3 linked regions of the Arabidopsis thaliana genome follow. The protein of the gene in region 1 purifies or fractionates together with the protein of each later gene. This does not show direct contact. Each region holds a gene or a part of one and is shown in the gene's direction. Other genes may lie near its edges.

Evidence for each region.
Region 2: the proteins of AT3G04500 (region 1) and AT4G31360 fractionate together in Arabidopsis thaliana (co-fractionation; one large-scale study listed by BioGRID). This does not show direct contact.
Region 3: the proteins of AT3G04500 (region 1) and HMGA fractionate together in Arabidopsis thaliana (co-fractionation; one large-scale study listed by BioGRID). This does not show direct contact.

What each region holds. Positions count from the first base shown.
Region 1 is NC_003074.8:1,210,172-1,217,934, reverse strand, and holds AT3G04500 (RNA-binding (RRM/RBD/RNP motifs) family protein), read left to right. Parts: upstream 1-4,027; 5' UTR 4,028-4,139; coding exon 4,140-4,364; intron 4,365-4,668; coding exon 4,669-4,846; intron 4,847-5,003; coding exon 5,004-5,101; coding exon of another isoform or gene 5,102-5,137; exon of another isoform or gene 5,138-5,199; coding exon of another isoform or gene 5,200-5,259; exon of another isoform or gene 5,260-5,368; coding exon 5,369-5,465; intron 5,466-5,618; coding exon 5,619-5,704; intron 5,705-5,816; coding exon 5,817-5,870; 3' UTR 5,871-6,173; downstream 6,174-7,763. Other genes in the region: THA2 (threonine aldolase 2), read left to right, coding at 1-23, 125-225, 353-419, 521-538; LSH2 (LIGHT-DEPENDENT SHORT HYPOCOTYLS-like protein (DUF640)), read left to right, coding at 1,518-2,123.
Region 2 is NC_003075.7:15,217,880-15,225,210, forward strand, and holds AT4G31360 (selenium binding protein), read left to right. Parts: upstream 1-3,963; 5' UTR 3,964-4,065; coding exon 4,066-4,388; intron 4,389-4,797; coding exon 4,798-4,894; intron 4,895-5,031; coding exon 5,032-5,091; intron 5,092-5,350; coding exon 5,351-5,431; 3' UTR 5,432-5,748; downstream 5,749-7,331. Other genes in the region: AT4G31351 (uncharacterized protein), read left to right, coding at 1-5; AT4G31354 (uncharacterized protein), read left to right, coding at 1,269-1,466; AT4G31355 (uncharacterized protein), read right to left, coding at 1,818-1,943; FLA5 (FASCICLIN-like arabinogalactan protein 5 precursor), read right to left, coding at 5,959-6,795.
Region 3 is NC_003070.9:5,136,328-5,143,054, reverse strand, and holds HMGA (high mobility group A), read left to right. Parts: upstream 1-3,587; 5' UTR 3,588-3,701; coding exon 3,702-3,785; intron 3,786-3,859; coding exon 3,860-4,390; 3' UTR 4,391-4,939; downstream 4,940-6,727. Other genes in the region: AT1G14910 (ENTH/ANTH/VHS superfamily protein), read left to right, coding at 196-334, 452-579, 665-757, 881-931, 1,063-1,128, 1,219-1,284, 1,359-1,439, 1,530-1,610 and 4 more; AT1G14890 (Plant invertase/pectin methylesterase inhibitor superfamily protein), read right to left, coding at 5,351-6,010. UniProt on the Arabidopsis thaliana protein: Binds A/T-rich DNA with a highly dynamic distribution into the nucleus.

The sequences.
Region 1 (7,763 bases):
TTGCAGCTGTGGAAACCAACATCGTAAGTGTTTGAAATGAATGATTGGTTGGTTAAGAACTGAACCGGATTGAACGGTTACGAGTTTTTTTTTTTTTTCGTATATAACAAACTCGTATATGCAGATATACGTAGACATACCAGAAGATCCAAAATTTGGAGCAGAAGAGGCATGTAAGAGCTTGGAAGATGTCGGTGTGCTTGTCATACCCCAAGCTACATTCAGGTACGCGTACATATGATATATATATTACATTTTTATGATCATGTAATACCACATAGAATAAGATAAAACTGGAATTTAATTTGGATGTAATTAATGGTAACTTGGAGTTTATGGTCTCTTAATACAGAATCAGGATTGTTCTACACCACCAAATCTCAGACGTCGACGTGGAATATGTACTCTCTTGCTTTGAGGTATGTAGTTTGCTTTCATCTACTGATATGTGCTTTGATATTTTTAATTTCTTTGCTACGCTTTATTCATTCATTGATTAATTGCTTTCGATATATTTCAGAAAATATTTCACTCGTGAAGAGAAGAGAAGGCGTTATTATTTTAAGTAATTTCACTCGTTGGACATGTGTAAGGTTGTATTTGAATCTTCATTCAGAATAAGGTTGTATTTGAATCGATTTTCTTGGTTTACAAATGAAAACCTTTAACCAAGAAGTAGAAAACTCTTTCATCAAATTCACTTATACATATAAATAACCAATTATAACCCAATAATTTATTCTTTATAATCCGATTATTCCTCATGTGCTAATAGTTTGTGTCCGGAATCACGGATTGAAAAATAAAAAGTAAGAAAAATAGTGACAGATAAAAAATCATACAAATATTTGTCTCTTTCTTCAGACGACCCATTGGTCTCTGTCTCTCTCTCAAGTCTCATCTATAGAGTTACCTTTTTATACACTGTGTAAAACAATAAGTCCCTTTCTCCTCTTTAATTTCTCTTCCTTTTTTTGTGTCTTAAATGGAAAATATATGATTTCTGATGATCAGTCTCACGACTCTCATCTCTTTCTCTTTCTCTATAAATGACCTATTATGATGTTTATGCAGCTATATATATGGACATTTGTGTCTGTATTTTTCTATCCATCTTCTCATTCTATAGTAGAAAAGAGGAAAAACACAAAAGACAACAGTAGAAAAGGAGAAAGAAAGAAAAAATCTCACTTTGATTTCTTCTACTTATATCTCTCATCTTGCAAAAAAGCAAGAGGTCTCTTCTTATTTTGCAGGTTGTTCCTCTTTGCCTCACCATATTTGAACAACATCATCATCACTGAATCTATCCTTTTTTGTAGCACCTACCTCACCACTTTGCAGTACAAGGAAGTAGCCAAGTGCTAATTCTATCTCTCTTTTTAGTTATTTATTATATATATCCTTTAACCAGAAAAAGTTATTTATTATAAATAACTTAAAACCTAATCTTTGCCCTAAATCACTCAACTCGATCTGGAGAAAGAACCCTAATTTGGAAACATATCTAAAAAGCTATGGATTTGATCTCTCAAAACCACAACAACAGAAACCCTAATACCAGTCTCTCGACGCAAACCCCTTCTTCCTTTTCTTCTCCACCTTCCTCTAGCCGCTACGAGAACCAGAAACGCCGTGACTGGAACACTTTCTGCCAATACCTCAGAAACCACCATCCACCGCTCTCTCTAGCTTCTTGCAGTGGCGCACACGTCCTCGATTTTCTGCGTTACCTTGACCAATTCGGCAAAACCAAAGTCCACCACCAAAACTGCGCCTTCTTTGGCCTCCCAAATCCACCGGCTCCTTGTCCTTGTCCTCTCCGACAAGCCTGGGGCTCACTCGACGCCCTCATTGGTCGTCTCCGTGCAGCCTACGAGGAGAACGGTGGCGCTCCCGAGACTAGCCCTTTTGGCTCACGGTCCGTCAGGATTTTCCTCAGGGAGGTTAGAGATTTCCAGGCTAAGTCACGTGGTGTTAGCTATGAGAAGAAGAGGAAAAGGGTCAACAACAAGCAAATAACTCAGTCCCAACCACAGTCCCAACCGCCTTTACCCCAGCAGCCACAGCAGGAGCAAGGTCAGTCTATGATGGCTAATTACCACCACGGTGCAACTCAATAATGTCGTATAACTTTATGTATGCTCGCATCTAGCTATTTATATCTACGTATCAACCTTTGTATTCGTGTAACGCAATCCCTATTCTCCTCCACCCACTGTTAATTTATATCATTGTTTCTTAATTAGACCTATTGTTTTGTTTTTCTTATAATCAATAAATGAAAAGAACTTGGATTTTATTTGGCTTATATATGATTATGTCATGGCCTCTTTTATATATTATATTGTCTAGATGATGAATTGATGATAATCGAGATTTTATAAAATTCGAATCATGAACATGAAGTGATATTTGTTGTCAGCTTGGATATTAATTAAGTGATATATCGATCGATATCATATGACGACTTCTGTTAGATTTAATATTTCTGTAAGGTCATAATTATGAATATAATATACTAGTTACTTGTTAGGGTTTATACTATGCATGAACATATACTTATAAATTTCAATTTCATCCACTCAAACGTGAAGCTTAACGTACAATTATTTTTCTGATAAATTAAACGGCTATATTTCTTCAGATTATTTTTGATACATATATTTTGTCTAATATATTTACGGATTTTCTTCATCTCCATGTCATTAATGTGTTCACCGTTAACTTCTTGTTTCGGCCGCATAGCTAAGAGAAAAATATCGAAATGTGTATTTTATTGGTTTAGTATATTTTCCCCAATATGATGTTTGACTAAACATGAGTGTGTGAGAGAATGTTGCACAAAATTGAAATTTGAAAGGCAAATCTAAAACGCATCTATAATTGCAAAAAGACAAAATATGATCATAGTTTCAATTATTGATGACAGCTAATCTTGTTACACAAATTTCTTCCCAATTTGTTATTAGCGGAACGTCGATTTGACAATTTTAGAATATTAAAAATTTTCATCAGAACATATTTCTCACAAAATTATGTGTTTGATATGTCACTATCGATTTCAAACTCATATAATATTCTGTAAAAAAGACAAAAATATTAAACGGATTGATTCCTTTTTTCGCTTGTGTTTTAAATTCAGAAACGTCGCTGTTAACATATTGATCGGATGCTCTTTGCTTTTACCAACAGTGACATTTAAATGTAGTGACCTACCGTTTTGGATCTGTGGGCTGTGAACTTGTGATATGCATTGTCGACAATTTTTGTTGAAAGATGTTATAAATCTATTTAAATTATTATCTGTAACTATAGTTGAAACTCTGAGTTCGAATTTTTAACTTGCATTGACAAATAGTATATGAGATGTATAAATTGATGTTACACGAATTGGAATTGATTACCAAACAGTGATGTAACCGGTTTTGCGCTCATCTCTGTAATGTGGTTCCCCCTTCAATAAAAGCAACGTAGAATAGAACAGTTTGGTCTCGGGGCACTCAAGGCAAGAGTTTAAAATCGTATGGACGAGTTTCGTCGACATTGGCTCAGGCTAATAGGGGACTAAGAAACGTGGACAAATGAAAATGATGTGTCCGTACGAGGTAGGCTTTGAATGTAGCTGTAAGAAATATTATTATTTAAACATTTTGTTGTAAGATTATGATTTTTTTTGCATAATTTAGCACCACATGTGGTTATTCCCTATTTGGGAGGGCCCTTGTTATACAGTCTTTTGGATTTATTTCTGATCCTCTTGCACATTTTTGAACAGAGTCGTCGTTTATATAAATGTAGTACTTGTGCAATATTTCTAAGAATTTCAAAAATATTTTCAGATTCTCTGGTTAAAACTTAAAAGCTACCAGAAAAGTTGTTGGTAAAATGGTTTAAACTACTTAGTGAATAACATTGAACCAGGTTTAATCCGGTTTAGCCACGTTCTCAATTGATCGTCTATTGGTGTAGTCTCGTCTGATTTAGGAACCCATAGGCTTTTTGTGAAGATACTATTGGGCCTCAGCCCAATAATTAGAAAACCGTAAATTTCCAATTTAAGTGGGAAAACAAATTAAAAAAAAAGAATAAACAAAATTTGAGGTTTCGATTTTGCGATTCGGCGATTTGCTTCTCCGATGTCAATCCCACCATCTTCAGGTTCTTCTTCTTCATCTTCCTCGTCTCAGTACACATACGCAGCTAATTCTTACTATTCCGCTCCGTATCAGCCTCCACAGCCTTACGCGGCGGCGCCTTCGCCTGCTGTACCGGCGCCTGTGGCATCCATTCCCGGAGCTACGGTCTATCCTCAGCCTGTTGGACCGGTTCCTGCCGTCTACGCTTACCCTCAGTACCAACAGGTTAGTTGGATTTGAAAAATCAGGAGTTTGATTCGTGGCGTTGTGTATTTATGATTCTGGGTTCGAATTAGGGTTTGCGAAATCTCTCTCCTTTGATTTTAGGGGTTTAATGTTGTTTTTGATATTGAAGTTTCTCGTTATGATTGTGTAATGCTTGTCACTCATGGATCTCACATGTTTTACAGTTAAAGATTTGTTCTTTGGATTTGATTTTACTTGTTTTGTGAAATTTCTGCCAAGTTTAGGTTTAAGGTAGAAAGTTGGTATCTTCATTGTTGTTTGATTCGGTTGTATTTATTGGCAGGCACATCAATTGTTCCAAAGAGATGCACAGACAATTACACCAGAAGCTCTTGAGAATGTAAAAGCTGCTTTGGCAAGTAGTGAAACCGAACACAAAGCAGAAACTAAAAAGAGAGCCATTCCTCGTAAAGCTGCTGGACAGTCTTGGGAGGATCCTACTCTTTCAGAATGGCCAGAAAGTAAGCTCTGCTCGTCTTTTTCTTCTTCTTTCCCTTGATTTTGCTGATTGTTGTTTTAGTTTACGGGATGGTATCATAGTTGTTCATAGGTAGGATTTTAGATGTTTTCTTCTCTGTTGTTAAAATAGATTTCTTATATCTTTCTAACATTTGGCAGATGACTATCGTCTGTTCTGTGGTGATCTTGGGAACGAAGTGAATGATGATGTTCTTTCCAAAGCATTTGCTAGATTCCCCACCTTCAATATGGCCAAGGTAACTGTGTATATCTCTCCTCCTTTTCGGCTTTAGTGATTATTCATATCTGGTTTCCTATGAACATATATTTGAGAACATTAGTCATGTGATTGTAGTCAACTGTGATGCATTTGCAAACCAAAACACATAGTATGTTCAGAACAGAGCATGGTTGACCTTAGATCATACGGATCATTCTTACTCGAATCACAAAGATAAGTATTCAGTGTTAGTTTTGTGGTCAAACTCGTACCAGAAAAATAAGAGTCTTATTTACCATGACAGGTCATTAGAGATAAGCGGACTGGTAAAACCAAGGGTTATGGGTTTGTGAGTTTCTTAAATCCTGCGGATCTAGCAGCAGCCTTAAAAGAAATGAATGGTAAGCACCTTGTTTTTAGTTTCTGTTTGATGTGTTGCTTCATCTTGATATCTCATCTCACTGTTTTTGTCAGAACTTGTTATATGATTCTGTTCTATAATCACTGTCGTTGAACATTCTGATTTGGTCCACTGATTTCATATGAATACACAGGTAAGTATGTTGGAAATCGTCCGATAAAACTACGAAAGAGTAGCTGGAAAGAGAGAACAGATCAGGAGGCTGCTGAAAGACAAAAGGCAAGTATCTTGACTCGAACGTTTTGATAGATACATTTGCAAAGGATTTTATTTTTATGAGTATCTAATTCTTGATTATAACTGATGGTTCTCTGTTTGATTGTAAATGCAGCATCACAGCAATAAGAAGCAAAAAACTGTGAAGAAGAGCATACTTCACAAGTGACGATCTCTTTTATTTTTGTGGCTTAAAATTTCCAAACCTGTTACTCATAAATATAAATGAACAAACATTATCATTAGTTTTGTTGAAAACGGTATGGTTATGTATTGTTGGGCTGCTATGTTTAGCTTTAGCCCCAACCGGTGGTATTTACTTTATGAAAACGTGTGTCCACAATAGGCTCGAGCACAAACTTTTCTTACATCTTTTTCACTCCATTAAAACGTTCAAGTGGTCTGAGCATATTACAAGAAAATCAATATTACTATTTAAGGATCGATTATAAGAAAGAAGATGTATACTATCTAACATAGTTTTTTGGTAGTTATGTAAAGAAAGAGTTGGAATTTCTAGGCATCATACATCTTCTAAGGTGATGTTATAACCCGAATGGGTTCTTTATCAGCGTTTTCGTTACACATACTTTACTCCAATCTGTAATTTAAATTTACCAGTAACACTTTAATTTTACGAAAATGTCTCACATTTCCTGAAGTTACTCAAAGTCATTTTTTTTTCCTTCTTTTTTTGTGTTATTGTTTTTCTTTAAACTTTCTAAAATATATTCCACATTAACAGCTCAACAAATTATGCCCTAAATATGTGAATCGGCTAGCAATGGGTCTAAACATAGCAATTCAGTGGTGTTTGTTTTGTGAAAATACGTCTAATGCAAAGAAAGTTAATCACCAATTTATTGATGCGTTGTAGATATTTTTCTTCTTTGTAAAAGTGATCTTTCTAATAAACATAACATGGTTTCTTTTACTACAAAAAAAAAAAAAACTGAAAATTAACATATGTAGCGAAAGAGACAAAGAGTAGTTATGCGAAATGGAGAAATTATAGATATCTGGCAACATCATTGAATCCGCCTTGATATATATTTTTCACATAGGTTGTGATGATTCTGTATGTAACATATGTATGTAAATATTATTTGACAACGATAGACTAAAATATGTAGACAGTTTGAGTATACTAATTGCATTTATTAGAGGAGCTTTGACGACTATCAGACTTGGGTGAATGGAGGAGAAGATAGGCAATCACTAGAAACTAATAAAGTAAACATTATTGAGTTTTGTCAACGACAAACTGAATAGAGATTGAAAAAAAAAAAAAAATCTAAAAAAACAAGAAAAGACTGATGCAAAAAAAAAAAATTGTCGAATCAAGAATAATGTGAACCGCTCCTGCATGCATAGGTCCCCTGTATGAAAAACTCGTGTTGCTTGACTTCTTGGCATCGTAGTAAGCGGTGTTCGTAGCTCCCACTATAAAATCGTCAATCGGCTGGAAATCACGGTTGTTAACCACGATTTCCAGATCGCGCATATAAGCAGTTTTGGCACTATTCGAAAGGTATCCAGATCCCATCTGAGTAGTCGTGTGTCGGCCAGATAAATTGGCGTTTACTATCTCACCGCCCCATTTCACCTCTTCTGCATAATTGTTGAGGCAAGTAAAGATCTCGGTCGGCCAATAGCCAACTGGTGTAAGTACAATGTCATTGGCCGAACCGACAGACAACCACCAATGTCCGAGGTTTTTAATATGTAAATCATTATCTAATTAATATTTTGTACATAACTTTCAACATACAGTAAGACTTTTTATATATAACTGGATTATTGTGTGTTATTTTACTCTCATTATAATGTGCCGGATTATTGTGGTCAAATTAGTCTCTCAAATTTTCTTCCAGTTTCGATTTTGATGGAAGTGACGGTTTTATAAATATATTTTAATATATATTTAAGCAAAACATAAGGAAAAAAAAAACAAAAATTGAGCAAAACATAACATTTTTATTTAATATCAAATTCATGATTTAAAAAATAAATAGAAATGTTAAAATTAAAACAACTATTGACTAATTAAGACACTTAAAAA
Region 2 (7,331 bases), on another chromosome or scaffold:
ATTGATCCTTCTAGGTACCCTCGGCTTGAAAATATCTAGACATATGGATCATGTTTGGTTTCTTGTGTCAGTTTTTAGACAAAAATCAAGTTACCCACGGCTTAAAAAAGTCTTTACACAGAGACTTGAGGTTCAATATAACCAATTCTTTAGACAAAAGATTGGATTGGGTTATGTTTGGTGGATGGTAAATGGTACCCACGGCTTCAAACTTTAGTCTTTAGATTGAGACTTGAGACTGAACATTGATCCTTCTTGGTACCCTCGGCTTGAAAATATCTAGACATATGGATCATGTTCGGTTTCTTGTTTCACTTTTTAGACAATGATCAAGTTACTCACGGCTTAAAACAGTCTTTAGACAGAGACATGGGGTTCGAAGTAACCAATTCTTTAGACAAAAGATTGGATTGGGTTATGTTTGGTGGAAGGAAGATGGTACCCACGGCTTCTAACTTAGTCTTTAGACTGAGACTTGAGACTGAACATTGATCCTTCTTGGTACTCTCGGCTTGAAAATATCTAGATATATGGATTATGTTCGGTTTCTTGTCTCAGTTTTTAGACAAAAATCAAGTTACCCATGGCTTAAAAAAGTCTTTACACAGAGACTTGAGGTTCAATATAACCAATTCTTTAGACAAAAGATTGGATTGGGTTATGTTTGGTGGAAGGTAAATGGTACCCACGGCTTCAAATTTTAGTCTCTAGATTGAGACTTGAGACAGAACATTGATCCTGCTTGGTACCCTCGGCTTGAAAATATCTAGACATATGGATCATGTTCGGTTTCTTGTTTCACTTTTTAGACAATGATCAAGTTACTCACGGCTTAAAACAGTCTTTAGACAGAGACATGGGGTTCGAAGTAACCAATTCTTTAGACAAAAGATTGGATTGGGTTATGTTTGGTGGAAGGAAGATGGTACCCACGGCTTCTAACTTAGTCTTTAGACTGAGACTTGAGACTGAACATTGATCCTTCTAGGTACCCTCGGCTTGAAAATATCTAGACATATGGATCATGTTTGGTTTCTTGTGTCAGTTTTTAGACAAAAATCAAGTTACCCACGGCTTAAAAAAGTCTTTACACAGAGACTTGAGGTTCAATATAACCAATTCTTTAGACAAAAGATTGGATTGGGTTATGTTTGGTGGATGGTAAATGGTACCCACGGCTTCAAACTTTAGTCTTTAGATTGAGACTTGAGACTGAACATTGATCCTTCTTGGTACCCTCGGCTTGAAAATATCTAGACATATGGATCATGTTCGGTTTCTTGTTTCACTTTTTAGACAATGATCAAGTTACTCACGGCTTAAAACAGTCTTTAGACAGAGACATGGGGTTCGAAGTAACCAATCCTTTAAACAAAAAATTGGATTGGGTTATGTTTGGTGGAAAGAAGATGGTACCCACGGCTTCCAACTTAGTCTTTAGACTGAGACTAGAGACTGAACATTGATCCTTCTTGGTACCCTCGGCTTGAAAATATCTAGACATATGGATCATGTTCGGTTTCTTGTGTCAGTTTTTAGACAAAAATCATATTACCCACGGCTTAAAAAAGTCTTTACACAGAGACTTGAGGTTCAAAATAACCAATTCTTTAGACAAAAGATTGGATTGGCTTATGTTTGGTGGAAGGAAGATGGTACCCACGGCTTCAAACTTTGGTATTAAGATTAAGACTTGAGAGTGAACATTGATCCTTCTTGTTAGCCACGACTTTAAAATCTCTAGACATATGGATCATGTTCGGTTTCTTGTTTCAGTCTTTAGACAAAGATCAAGTTACCCACGGCTTAAGAAAGTCTTAAGACAGAGACTTGAGGTTCGAAGTAACCAATCCTTTAGACAAAAGATTGGATTGGGTTATGTTTGGTGCACGGAAAATGGTACCCACGGCTTCAAACTTAGTCTGAGACTTGAGATTCGACATTGATCCTTCTTGGTACACACGGCTTGAAAATCACTAGACAAATGGATCATGTTCAGTTTCTTGTTTCAATCTTTAGATAAAGAAACACTCACGGCTTAAAACATTATAAGTCATTAGACAGAGACTTATAATTTTAAACAATGGAAATTTGGATAATAAACTTACAAGACGATGTTAAACTAACCGGATTTTGGATCCCATCATTGATCGTTAGCGATTCCAAAAATTCAGCTTGTCTTCCCATCGTTAAGTAGATTTATAATACAAGTTTCTGTTGATCCTTCTTGGTACCCTCGACTTGAAACTCACTACACATATGGATCATGTTCGGTGTCTTGTTTCAATCTTTAGACAAAAGAATACCCACGGCTTAAAACATTATGTCTTTAGACAGAGACTCGAGGTTCGAAAGTAACCAATCTTTTGTCAAAAAGATTGGATTTGGTTATGTTTGGTGCAAGGAAAATGGTACCCACGGCTTTAAACTTTAGTCTTTCGAGTGAACTGAAACTTGAGATTCCAACATTGATTCTTTTGGTACCCACGGCTTGAATATCTTTAGACATATGGATCATGTTCGGTCTCTTGTGTCAGTCTTTAGACAAAGATCAAGTTACCCACGGCTTAAAATAGTCAGAGACTTGAGGTTCGAAGTAACCAATCCTTTAGACAAAAGATTGGATTGGATTGGCTTATGTTTTGGTTGATGAAAAATGGTACCCACGACTTCAAACTTTAGATTGAGACTTGAGATTAGAACATTGATCCTTCTTTGGTACCCACAGTTCAAAAATCTCTAGACATATGGATCATGTTCGGTTTCTTGTTTCAGTGTTTAGACAGAGTTGGATAATAATGGACGATGTTGGGTTATGTTTGGATAATAAATTTACAAGACCAGATTTTAAACAATGGAAATTTGGATAATAAATTTACAAGACGATGTTGAATAACCGGTTTTGGATCCCGTCATTGATAGTTAGCGATTCCACAAATTCAACTTGTTTTTACATCGTTATGTAGATTTAGAATACAAGTTTGTGTTGAAAAAAAATATATACAAGTTTCTTATTTTTTTAGAAAAGATTCCCAAATTTTTCCATACGTTTAGCATGCTACCAACCTTGTAAGAGGGTTCGTCGTTGTGTGAGATTAGTGTAATTTGTTATGGGATCAGGATCAACCAATCAAGATTTCACCAACTTGCTAATATGTGAAAGACAGACAAATAGAGTAACAGTGAAGACTGAAGATGATGGTTGTGATGTGATGAACAAGTTCTAAAATATTTAGGTCCAAAAGATCTTCCCATGGAGCTTGGTTGTGAAAGTGCTAACTGAGATTTCTCCAACATGCACACATTGTTGCAAAAGCTTCCCCCTGCATTTTATTATACAAACAAACAAACAAAAATGTCACCATAATGGATGAATGTTTGTTCACCATGAGTATGCGACTTATTAACATATTACATTTTAGCATTACTACATCCAAATACTTCAACTATCATCATATATTGGAAATTTGGATTGATGGCTTGAGTCATAAAAACCTACAAAAGGATTGGACGATACTTTTAGTAAAATCTCTTAAAATTGTCCGCAGTGACCAAAATGCTAAAAAGCTAGAAGGATATACAGACTTTTATCTTACTTTATGTATCAGAAAATCAATATTTCTTAATAAATATGATAAAGTGTTTCAGTTTATTTTGAGTTTAGAAAAAGCCAAATGAATTGGAATCAAAATAATGTAGGTAAAAAAGAGAAGTGGAATTAAAATAAAATCATTCTATCCAATCAAAACGGTAAGTAGTTGTGCGTTTTAGAGGCAAAACACCACAGCGTTTCGAAGCACGTGGATGTGTCGTGTGATACAGCAGTAGCGCACTATTGGGCATTGAGAATACATAATCATAACCCCTGCAATCTAACGGTCAACCTTTTAATAACCCTTGTAGGTTAAATCTCTACCGTTTATTCGAATTACTTTTCCAAGGTAAGAAAAAAGCAAACACAAAAGGGAATATCAAACAACAAAAAAGTAAGAAAGAGCGGTAAGACAGAGACGGAGAAGAAGGAGAAGAAGATTGTTAAGACGAAACCCTGTTGCTGTCCGTACAATGCCGCCGAAGAAGAGTAAGGCAGATGGAGAAGAAAAGGCGAAACCTTTAACGACGTTGGCGTCGTCTAGAGTGACTCGGAGCATGGACAGTCGAACTCGAAGTCAGACTCAACAAAACGGTGCTAAAGCGGCTGGATCCGCCACTAAGCCGGCGACGAAGAAGGCTAAGAGGAAGAATTCAGCGATTGAGACTGGGAGAGCCAAGAAGGGAAAGAAGGAAGAGGAAGTTGAAGAGCCAGAGGAAGCCGTTGAGGAGGAGGTTGAGAAGGAAGAGCCAGAGGTTGAGGACCCTACGAGAACCAAGATTGTTATAGAACACTGGTAATTTTTGCGTAAATGTTTTCGATTTCTTTAGAGATAATGTTTGGAATCATAAGAGCAAAAATTTAGGTTTTTTTCTTTGAAATTGAATCTAAAAGCCTACAACTTTGGGGTATGTGTTGAGACTTGTGTGTCCGTGTGTAGCAGCTAAGGTTTATTTGCTAGGGTGGAACAATGTGTTAGGTTTTCATCTTGATTCTGCATAAGTTTTTGGTTTGAGTGATTAGTGGTTTATGTTTTGCTCGCATTTGTGAAGAGGACTTGACTATCTGCTTTCTGTTTGTGTTCTTGTCTTGCTTTAGCTGAATTGCAATGCGTAATGGACGTGTTCATTCTATAAATGGAATTTGCTTCTATACTTATGTCTCACAAGAGTTCTTTTTTGTTTTGTTTTGTGATGTTATTGAAGTAAACAATGCAATGCTTTCAAGACAAGAGCTATTCAGGTGAAGGAAGCTTTGGAGGGAGCTGTTCCTGGCGTCACGGTGTCTCTTAATCCTGAAAAGGTAATGCTTTTACTGCAGATGAATATATCGTCATGAATGCTCCGTTTTGACTAATGCGTTAGAGCATACTTTTCACATTATACTTGATAAGATTTTCTTCTAAATTACTAATTCTTTCTTTTGATGTGCTTGAACAGCCAAGGCGGGGTTGCTTTGAGATCCGGGAGGAAGGTGGCCAAACATTCATCAGTCTTTTGGTAAAAACTTTCATTCTAATAAAAACAAATCTCAATTTGTCTCGCTTCTGCATATGATTTGTTCAGTTTGAGTAAGGTTTATTGTTATTACTAATTCTCATAACACCACTTGCTCTATATGCATATGAGAATGAAAATCAACTTGATCCTTATTCATTACGAGAAATGTGTTATTGTGAGTAGAAATCATGAATATGTTTTTGCCTTTCAATCTTAACATAGACCTAAAGATGTAGATTATGTTTATCTCATTTTGTAGGAGATGAAACGTCCATTTGCACCAATGAAGGCACTTGATATGGAAGAAGTCATCGAGGACATCATAAAGAAAGTCAAATGAATCTGTTCTTTGTTTCTGCCTCGGTCTCAGTTTAATCAATTAGGTTTCTGCAGAAGACTTTCTAGAGTAATGTCAGATTTGTTAGGTTCACTTTTATTGTTTCGGTATGAGCACTGTAAGTGCAGTCTCGTCGTTTGGCAATGCATGATTAGTTGATAGAGAAGGATCTCTGTAGTTTTTGGGGTTAACTCGTATTTGTAAGGCTAGTTTATTATTCATCTCGTTGCTTGAAGCAAACCGATGCATAAGTGTTTTTTGTTGTTGGGACCATGCATGGTTCTAACAATCTATGCACTGGTTAAAGCATGTTCTAACACAATTAGAACTGTGTTACAAAATCAATAGGACAAACATCACATTTGCATTCAAAATGGCTGATAAATACAATGCATGATGAGTAGAAAGCTCATTACATTTAGGTTTCTTTCACTTCCAATGGCCGTGTCTCTCTTCTTGGCTAAAAGCTACAGAAAAATTGTTTTGAATCTCACCTACCATTATTGTCTTTAACCCACATCACCCGAATCTTAGAACCCAGCAAAGCTAGCCAAAAATGCTAACAAGAGAATAACATCAAAGCTCCAACCAGCCTTAGAAGCAGAAGAAGATGGTTTAGCCTTATCAGCAGCTTCAATCTTCTCATTATCGGCGCTTGGAGCAGGAGCTGGAGAATCAGCCTCTGGTGTGTCTGTTGCAGGTGCAGGTGGAGTTTTTGGGACAGCAGAATCTGGGGAATTGTCATCAGCAGCTGGTCCTGGAGCTGGAACCACTGAAGCATCCATGGGAGTTGGATATGGAGCTACATGAACGTATGGTGGTGGAGGTGGGAAAATTGCAAGGCTGAGTCCAGGAGCCACTATTGGCATGGTAATCTGGATGATAGAGAGGTTATATGGATTGTGGTACACCGTCGAGACATACTCAGCGTTTAAAGGAGAGTTCTTCACTTCCGATCCAAAGTAAACTCTTCCTTTTGATTTGGAAACGTTCAAGAAACCATTCATCTGTTCACCCAACCCGGTGGTTTGGTATAAGGTAGTAAGCATTATACTCTTCTCCCTCATCCCCTGAAGCTTAAGCTCATCGTAGTAGTCAAGAATAACATGAGTCATGAGGATGTTCCTGAGCTCAACTTCGGATCTGTTAGTGATGGAGCTGATAGCGTCATTGCTAACAGCAAGCACGGTTATCGTCTGGTATTTGTCGATGGCTGCAATGAGCTTGGTCTTGATGAAGAGGTCCCTCATGGTGCTGAATTTGGAGTATTTCTGAAAGGCCAGCGTGATGTTATTCGCCGTAACGACCTTAGAGAAGACGAGTAAGATGGTGAGGGAGAGGAGAGAAAGGGAGGCTTTGAGACCCATCTCGTGTCGTGTGTTCTCTTTGCTAAACCTCAAGGGCGAAGAGTGGGTTTAAAAGGAGAGATTTTCTCTGTTTTTGGTATTAAATCTGAATTAGTCTTTTGGTGAGCTAAGTCTACTCTGCTATTTTTAGAGTATAGTAAGACTTGGCCATTGAGAATTTAATTATTTGATGGCTAAATTGCGTTTTAACAAGTTTTTTTATGTTAATTGAAAAAGTTTTCTTCTGTGCGAAAGGAACTAAAATTATAATGATGGAACTTGCATGTTTATTAGATGAATTTATCATTGTAACAAAATTATAGTTGTTTTGTTTACAATCTGATGAAGTTTTAGTTAATGATTTCTAAAGTTGATGGAAAAGATAACCTAAAAGACTCTTAACATGAATAATTAAACACTAGTAATTTTTATTTTTGCTAAAAAAATTACTACTCATCTACTTATTAATATCATCAATTTTTTGTATGATAATTGGCACATCGATATTTAGTTTTTGGAAACCAGAGTAAATATAAATAAGAAATGATAAATTATGA
Region 3 (6,727 bases), on another chromosome or scaffold:
TTTTAGGGAAGATAGTGATTATAGTAATTTGCAGCGTTTAGTATGATTAGATGTGTTCACTTTCATCCTCTGTATGTTTTAGGGTGTGAAATTCTGAGGATCGATTCAGTCATTGTTTCAAATTGGTGTAGATAGCTTTGGTTAGGTTTCTCATTCTTTCTGTTGGCTATTTTATTGTGTGTTTTGCTTCAACAGGTTGCATTAAAAGCACTGCTAGTTATACACCGGCTTCTGAGGGATGGTGATCCGACATTTAGAGAGGAGCTATTGAATTTTTCGCAAAAAGGACGCATTATGCAAATTTCTAATTTCAAGGATGACTCTAGCCCAGTCGGTGAGTCCTTACTGCTACATTCACGGGTCTATGTGTTTTTAGAAGCAAATGAGGTTCATTCAAGGTTTCTGCATAGAGTTATTGTTGATATGGTATTTGCTTTATGCTTGCTTACAGCATGGGATTGTTCAGGGTGGGTACGCACTTATGCGTTGTTTCTTGAGGAACGGCTTGAATGCTTCAGGGTTCTGAAATATGACATCGAGGCTGAACGTCTTCCAAAAGTTTCCCCAGGGCAGGAGAAGGTATCAAATTTGCGTTTTACTTGGTTTTCTGGCCTTATATTATCTCCTTTCCTTCCTGAGGGTATTCGATTTTGGAAATGAACAGGGGTATAGCAAAACAAGGGATTTAGATGGTGAAAAACTCTTGGAACAGTTGCCAGCTTTACAACAGCTTCTGCATCGTCTCATTGGTTGTAAGGTGCTTCTTTGATGTCATTTCCCGAGTCGTGCACTATGTTTTGTAAATCCCGTATTATTTTCTATTAAGTTGGAGAAGCTTTTCCTGACGTATGAACTGACTTTGCTCTTTCGACTTTTTCAGCCAGAAGGTGCTGCTAAGCACAATCATATCATTCAATATGCACTCTCCCTGGTACATTAAACTAAACTCGGGGGCATAATTTACATATATCCGCTAGTTCTTAGTGTTGTGTCAAATATATACTATCTGGAAAGAACAGCTTGATTTAAGCTCTGAGATCTTATTGTAAATTGTGTATGCAGGTATTGAAGGAGAGTTTTAAAGTGTATTGTGCCATCAATGAAGGAATTATCAATCTAGTAGAGAAGGTAGGCCAGTTTTTTCTTTTCCCCCAGAGTTACTCTCTCCCTTCATGTGTTTTTTGATTTCTTACTGTTTTATACATGCATATATTGCAGTTCTTTGAAATGCCAAGACATGAGGCCATCAAGGCCCTTGAAATATACAAGCGTGCGGGTTTGCAGGTAATGTTGTTGGGTTATTTTCTCTGTTAGATCAATTTAGATTTCACTTAACAAGGGTTAGTTTATCAATGCAGGCTGGCAACCTTTCTGCCTTCTATGAAGTATGCAAAGGATTAGAACTTGCAAGGAATTTCCAGTTTCCTGTTTTAAGAGAGGTATCAGATAATAACTTGTTTGTTACATTTAAATTTGTGATGGCAGGTACTTTATCAATACTAAATAAGTCTATTTTTGTTTTTTTCAAGCCTCCACAATCTTTTCTTACAACAATGGAGGAATATATGAGAGACGCACCTCAGATGGTCGACGTCACATCTGGGCCACTGGTACATATATACTCTCATTGTGGTCCTACTCCTACAGAAACCATGATTTTTCTTTTATAACTTATTTCTAAAAACTTTGTCAACATACAGCTTCTGACCTATACGCCTGATGATGGTCTTACTTCTGAAGATGTTGGACCTTCACATGAAGAACATGAAACATCATCGCCTTCAGATAGTGCCGTTGTTCCCTCTGAAGAAACGCAACTTTCTTCCCAGTCTCCTCCTTCAGTAGAAACTCCACAGAACTTCATTGATACTGATGATCTATTGGTAAATTATGCTTATTACATATGGTCTTGATTTCTTTATTCTGTCATTGTTATCCTTTTGTCTCTGATTCTCTCAGTATTACACACAGGGTCTGCATGATGATACACCTGATCCGTTAGCAATCCTGGACCAAAATGCACTAGCTTTGGCCTTAGTTTCCAATGATGGTGAGCTTCTTGGTCTATGTACTGGAGCTCTAAGTTTGCCTTTCTTGCTTGTCTTTAGTCGCAATTCTGGTTATGTTTCTGTTTCCAGTTGATTCTTCGCCGTTTAGTTTTGGGCAAGCAAGAGATTTGGATCCGTCAGGATGGGAGCTTGCGTTGGTCACAACACCTAGCAATGATATATCTGCAGCCACAGAGAGACAGCTGGTAAGATGTATTCTTGTATTAGTGATAATGGGATGCATCAATTACGTACCATTGTCCTGTTAACGTATGTCACCTCTGGGGAATTGATTTTGTGGCTTCTGAATCATTAACATTTTTTTCTGCAACAAATGCAAGGCGGGTGGATTAGACACGCTCACCCTGAACAGTCTATATGACGATGGAGCCTTGAGAGCAGCCCAACAGCCTGCCTATGGCGTCCCAGCTTCCAATCCGTTTGAGGTCCAAGACCTGTTTGCATTTTCAGACAGTGTTTCACCGCCTTCAGCCGTAAACAACCCATTCGGTCTCTATGAGCCAACCTATCATCAACAAGAGCAGCAGCCACAGCTACAGGTTGCACCCAGCCCTGCAAATCCTTTTGGTGATTTTGGGGAGTTTCCAATAGTTCCGGTTTCAGAACCACAAAGCACCACCAGTTTTGGGGCATTTCCAGTACCGGTTTCAGAGCCGTCAAACACCACCGGCTTTGGGGAGATTCCAGTAGTCCCGGTTACAGAACCGCCAAACACCACCGCGTTTGGGGAATTTCCAGTGGTGCCGGTTTCAGAACCACAAAACATCACTGGGTTTGGGGCATTACCAGTAACCCCGGCTTCAGAACCATCAAACACCACCGGTTTTGGGGAATTTCCAGTAGTGTCGGTTTCAGCACCACAAAACACCACTGGGTTTGGGGCATTACCAGTAATCCCGGTATCAGAACCGTCAAAGACCACCGGTTTGGGGGAATTTCCAGTAGTCCCGGTTTCAGAACCGCAAAACACCACGGGTTTTGGGGAGTTCCCGGTAAACGCAGGTGCTCATGAGCAACATAACAGCAACAACCCCTTCGGCAGCACGGGCTTCTTGTGATCCCATCTTCGTATATTTCTCAAAATGCTTTATTTGTCTCATATGATTCTATTGTTTGTGAGTAGTAATAAAATCACATCATCTTCTAGTCTTGCAAATCTTGTTCTGCTAATAGAGAAAGACTCCTCGGGATTGATTATATAAATGAATTTTCATTGGTGGAAAAAAAATGAAAGATATATATAACTCATTGTGTTACATTAACAAAATAATTTGAAATATGATTAGCAAAAACGCTACGTAGTATGTCGTTTTCTGTTCTAGTAATCCAGCTAGGCTGAACCAATGGCCATTCGTTGAATAAAAAAGGAAGATTGGAGGAGAATTAGGTAATTTAAGGGTAATAGTCAGCAGAAGTCATTCCCATATGTCCACGTCAGTAATCCTGCTCGAGAAAGCTGCTATAAACTCAGAGCCGTTGGATCAACCCGTAAGTTTGAAAACCCCAACCGTCAGATCAACACTACAAGTTAATATGAGAATAATGAGAAAACCACTTTCCCAAATTGCTTTTTAAAATCCCTCCTCACACAGATTCCTTCCTTCATCACCTCACACACTCTCTACGCTTGACATGGCCTTCGATCTCCACCATGGCTCAGCTTCAGATACGCATTCATCAGAACTTCCGTCGTTTTCTCTCCCACCTTATCCTCAGGTGAAGTACACCCCTAAAATCTCTCAATCTCTCTCAATTTAGTTTCTGAAATTTTGGTTGAAATTTGTGTTTAGATGATAATGGAAGCGATTGAGTCCTTGAACGATAAGAACGGCTGCAACAAAACGACGATTGCTAAGCACATCGAGTCGACTCAACAAACTCTACCGCCGTCACACATGACGCTGCTCAGCTACCATCTCAACCAGATGAAGAAAACCGGTCAGCTAATCATGGTGAAGAACAATTATATGAAACCAGATCCAGATGCTCCTCCTAAGCGTGGTCGTGGCCGTCCTCCGAAGCAGAAGACTCAGGCCGAATCTGACGCCGCTGCTGCTGCTGTTGTTGCTGCCACCGTCGTCTCTACAGATCCGCCTAGATCTCGTGGCCGTCCACCGAAGCCGAAAGATCCATCGGAGCCTCCCCAGGAGAAGGTCATTACCGGATCTGGAAGGCCACGAGGACGACCACCGAAGAGACCGAGAACAGATTCGGAGACGGTTGCTGCGCCGGAACCGGCAGCTCAGGCGACAGGTGAGCGTAGGGGACGTGGGAGACCTCCGAAGGTGAAGCCGACGGTGGTTGCTCCGGTTGGGTGCTGAATTAATCGGTACTTATGCAATTTCGGAATCTTTAGTTACTGAAAAATGGAATCTCTTAGAGAGTAAGAGAGTGCTTTAATTTAGCTTAATTAGATTTATTTGGATTTCTTTCAGTATTTGGATTGTAAACTTTAGAATTTGTGTGTGTGTTGTTGCTTAGTCCTGAGATAAGATATAACATTAGCGACTGTGTATTATTATTATTACTGCATTGTGTTATGTGAAACTTTGTTCTCTTGTTGAACAATTATTGCTGCTTTGATTTCATTTTCACACTTAATAATGAGGGGAAAACTATGTAATTGGTAATGCTAAACATTCATTATTGTCACTAATTTAATTATGCTACAGTTAGCAGAAGAAAGAATCACTGTGGAATCAGCGCGGGAGTTGAAAATTTCAAAGGGAATTCAATTAGAAAAATCTGTGAAGCGAATGTGTGTAATCATTATCAATAGGGATTGAAATAGAAACTGTGAACAGAGTATGGAAGCTTTTTGGCATCCCCGTGAACAAAAAGGACAAAACCTTGTTTTCGTAAAGATTTTAGAGTGGGCCACTAATAGACAAACTTTGGGGTCATAGTCAGATGTTCTAATCATCTCACGGGTTTCAGTTCCCCTTAGACATGATGGCCAAAATTCATCCATATCATATCCAAATTCATCAAAGAAAAAAAAAAAAAAAAAAAAACCAGGTTCATGTATCAAATTTACTCATCAAAACCATGTATAATTATCTTCATTACTCATATAGCACACACCATATAAACACATATGACATATATTAATATTAATACAATCAAACATAGATTAATGTATAATTTGAACACCCAAACTCAGAGTTCTAACTCGGTTTCAAAGCCTCGAATACACATTATAAACTAAGCACACAACTTAACACATATATATATACAAGTGTTTTTATAACTTTAGGAATTTCAAGACCTAGCTTAGTTAGTTAGGCTCCATTGTTGGCGTAGGTATTAACGAGAGCGAGCGCATTACTCGTGAACCTCTTGACGTCGGCGACTCTATCGCAAATAGCCGTCTTCGTCTCTCCGTCTTCCATCTCCTCCGTGACCCCATCCGTACACGTCTCCTCGTCCGTCAACGCCGCGCTCATCCACGTCTGCACGTTACTCATCTGAAACCTAAACGCCGGATCTCCGGGACGACGGTGGTTCATCTCTCGGAGCTGCCTTAGGGAGCCACGCATCTGATCCACGGCATCTCCCACGTTCGAAACGCAGTCGTGGACAGCAGCTGAGGCAGCGCGACGTGAGAGTTTGGAGAGGTAAGCCGCCGTGTATTTTGCGCGGGAGAGAGAAACGCCGATTGCGAGTTTAGCTAGCCTTGCCGGATTATCTTGGACGGCGGAGGCGTATCCAGCTAGAGACGTGTAACATACGTCTGGATACAGCGTTGTGTTGCAGCTCGTACGGATGAAATCTAGATCATCGGTTGTTGGTTGTTCCGGAGGGAAACGGACGGCTGAGATTGTCCGGCAAATGAAGAGTAGGGTGACTAAGTAGAGAACCGTCGTCGTATAAAGCTGCCTCCCCATTTTAAGCTTTAAGTTTTTTACTCTGTTTATTTCTTCTTTGTTTCGAGTTAACATGTGAGATTGGAGGGTTTATGTAGACATTGAGTAATGGAGAAATGTGACATGTTTGCCCATTCATGCTCATTATAATCACATTATGGCCACTAATCATTTTGTCGGGTGTATTTTATCCATAGTTGGTGTGAAAAGGAAGGCTTGGTAGATTCACTATCTTAGCCGTACCTTAAAAGGAACTGCATTCTTTATGGTTATCTATCCCATATATATTTAAATTTTATAAGAAAATATGTTCATAACATATCAACGGTTAAAAAAATATCCATAACACTTCATTTTTATAACTATATTTTGTATGCACTTTTGTTTATAAATGTCGAGTATGAACACAAATGTTGAACTAGGTATGGGTCGCAAGTGAGATTTTGGGTGGACATTACTCCTCAGTTGCAATATCGACCACGAAAGGATCGTACGGTGAATACTATGATGGGACTCACCAAGTTATGGATGGAGTATGTGGAGATTCGCCTACAATCAATAATTCTGCTAAATAAAAGTAAATTATCCGAGAAGAAAATATCTGCACGCGTGATTATTAACATTGTACTAATAGTTTTCTCAAAATGCTCCAACTCATTGAATAACAATGTCTTTTTTTTCCTCTTTCTAAATAGACACCTTTTTTAGATTTTACTCATTTTTAGTGTTGAATCTGTTATATCAAGATTCAAGAGACAAATATATGACTCGAATTGTTTGAATTTTTGAACT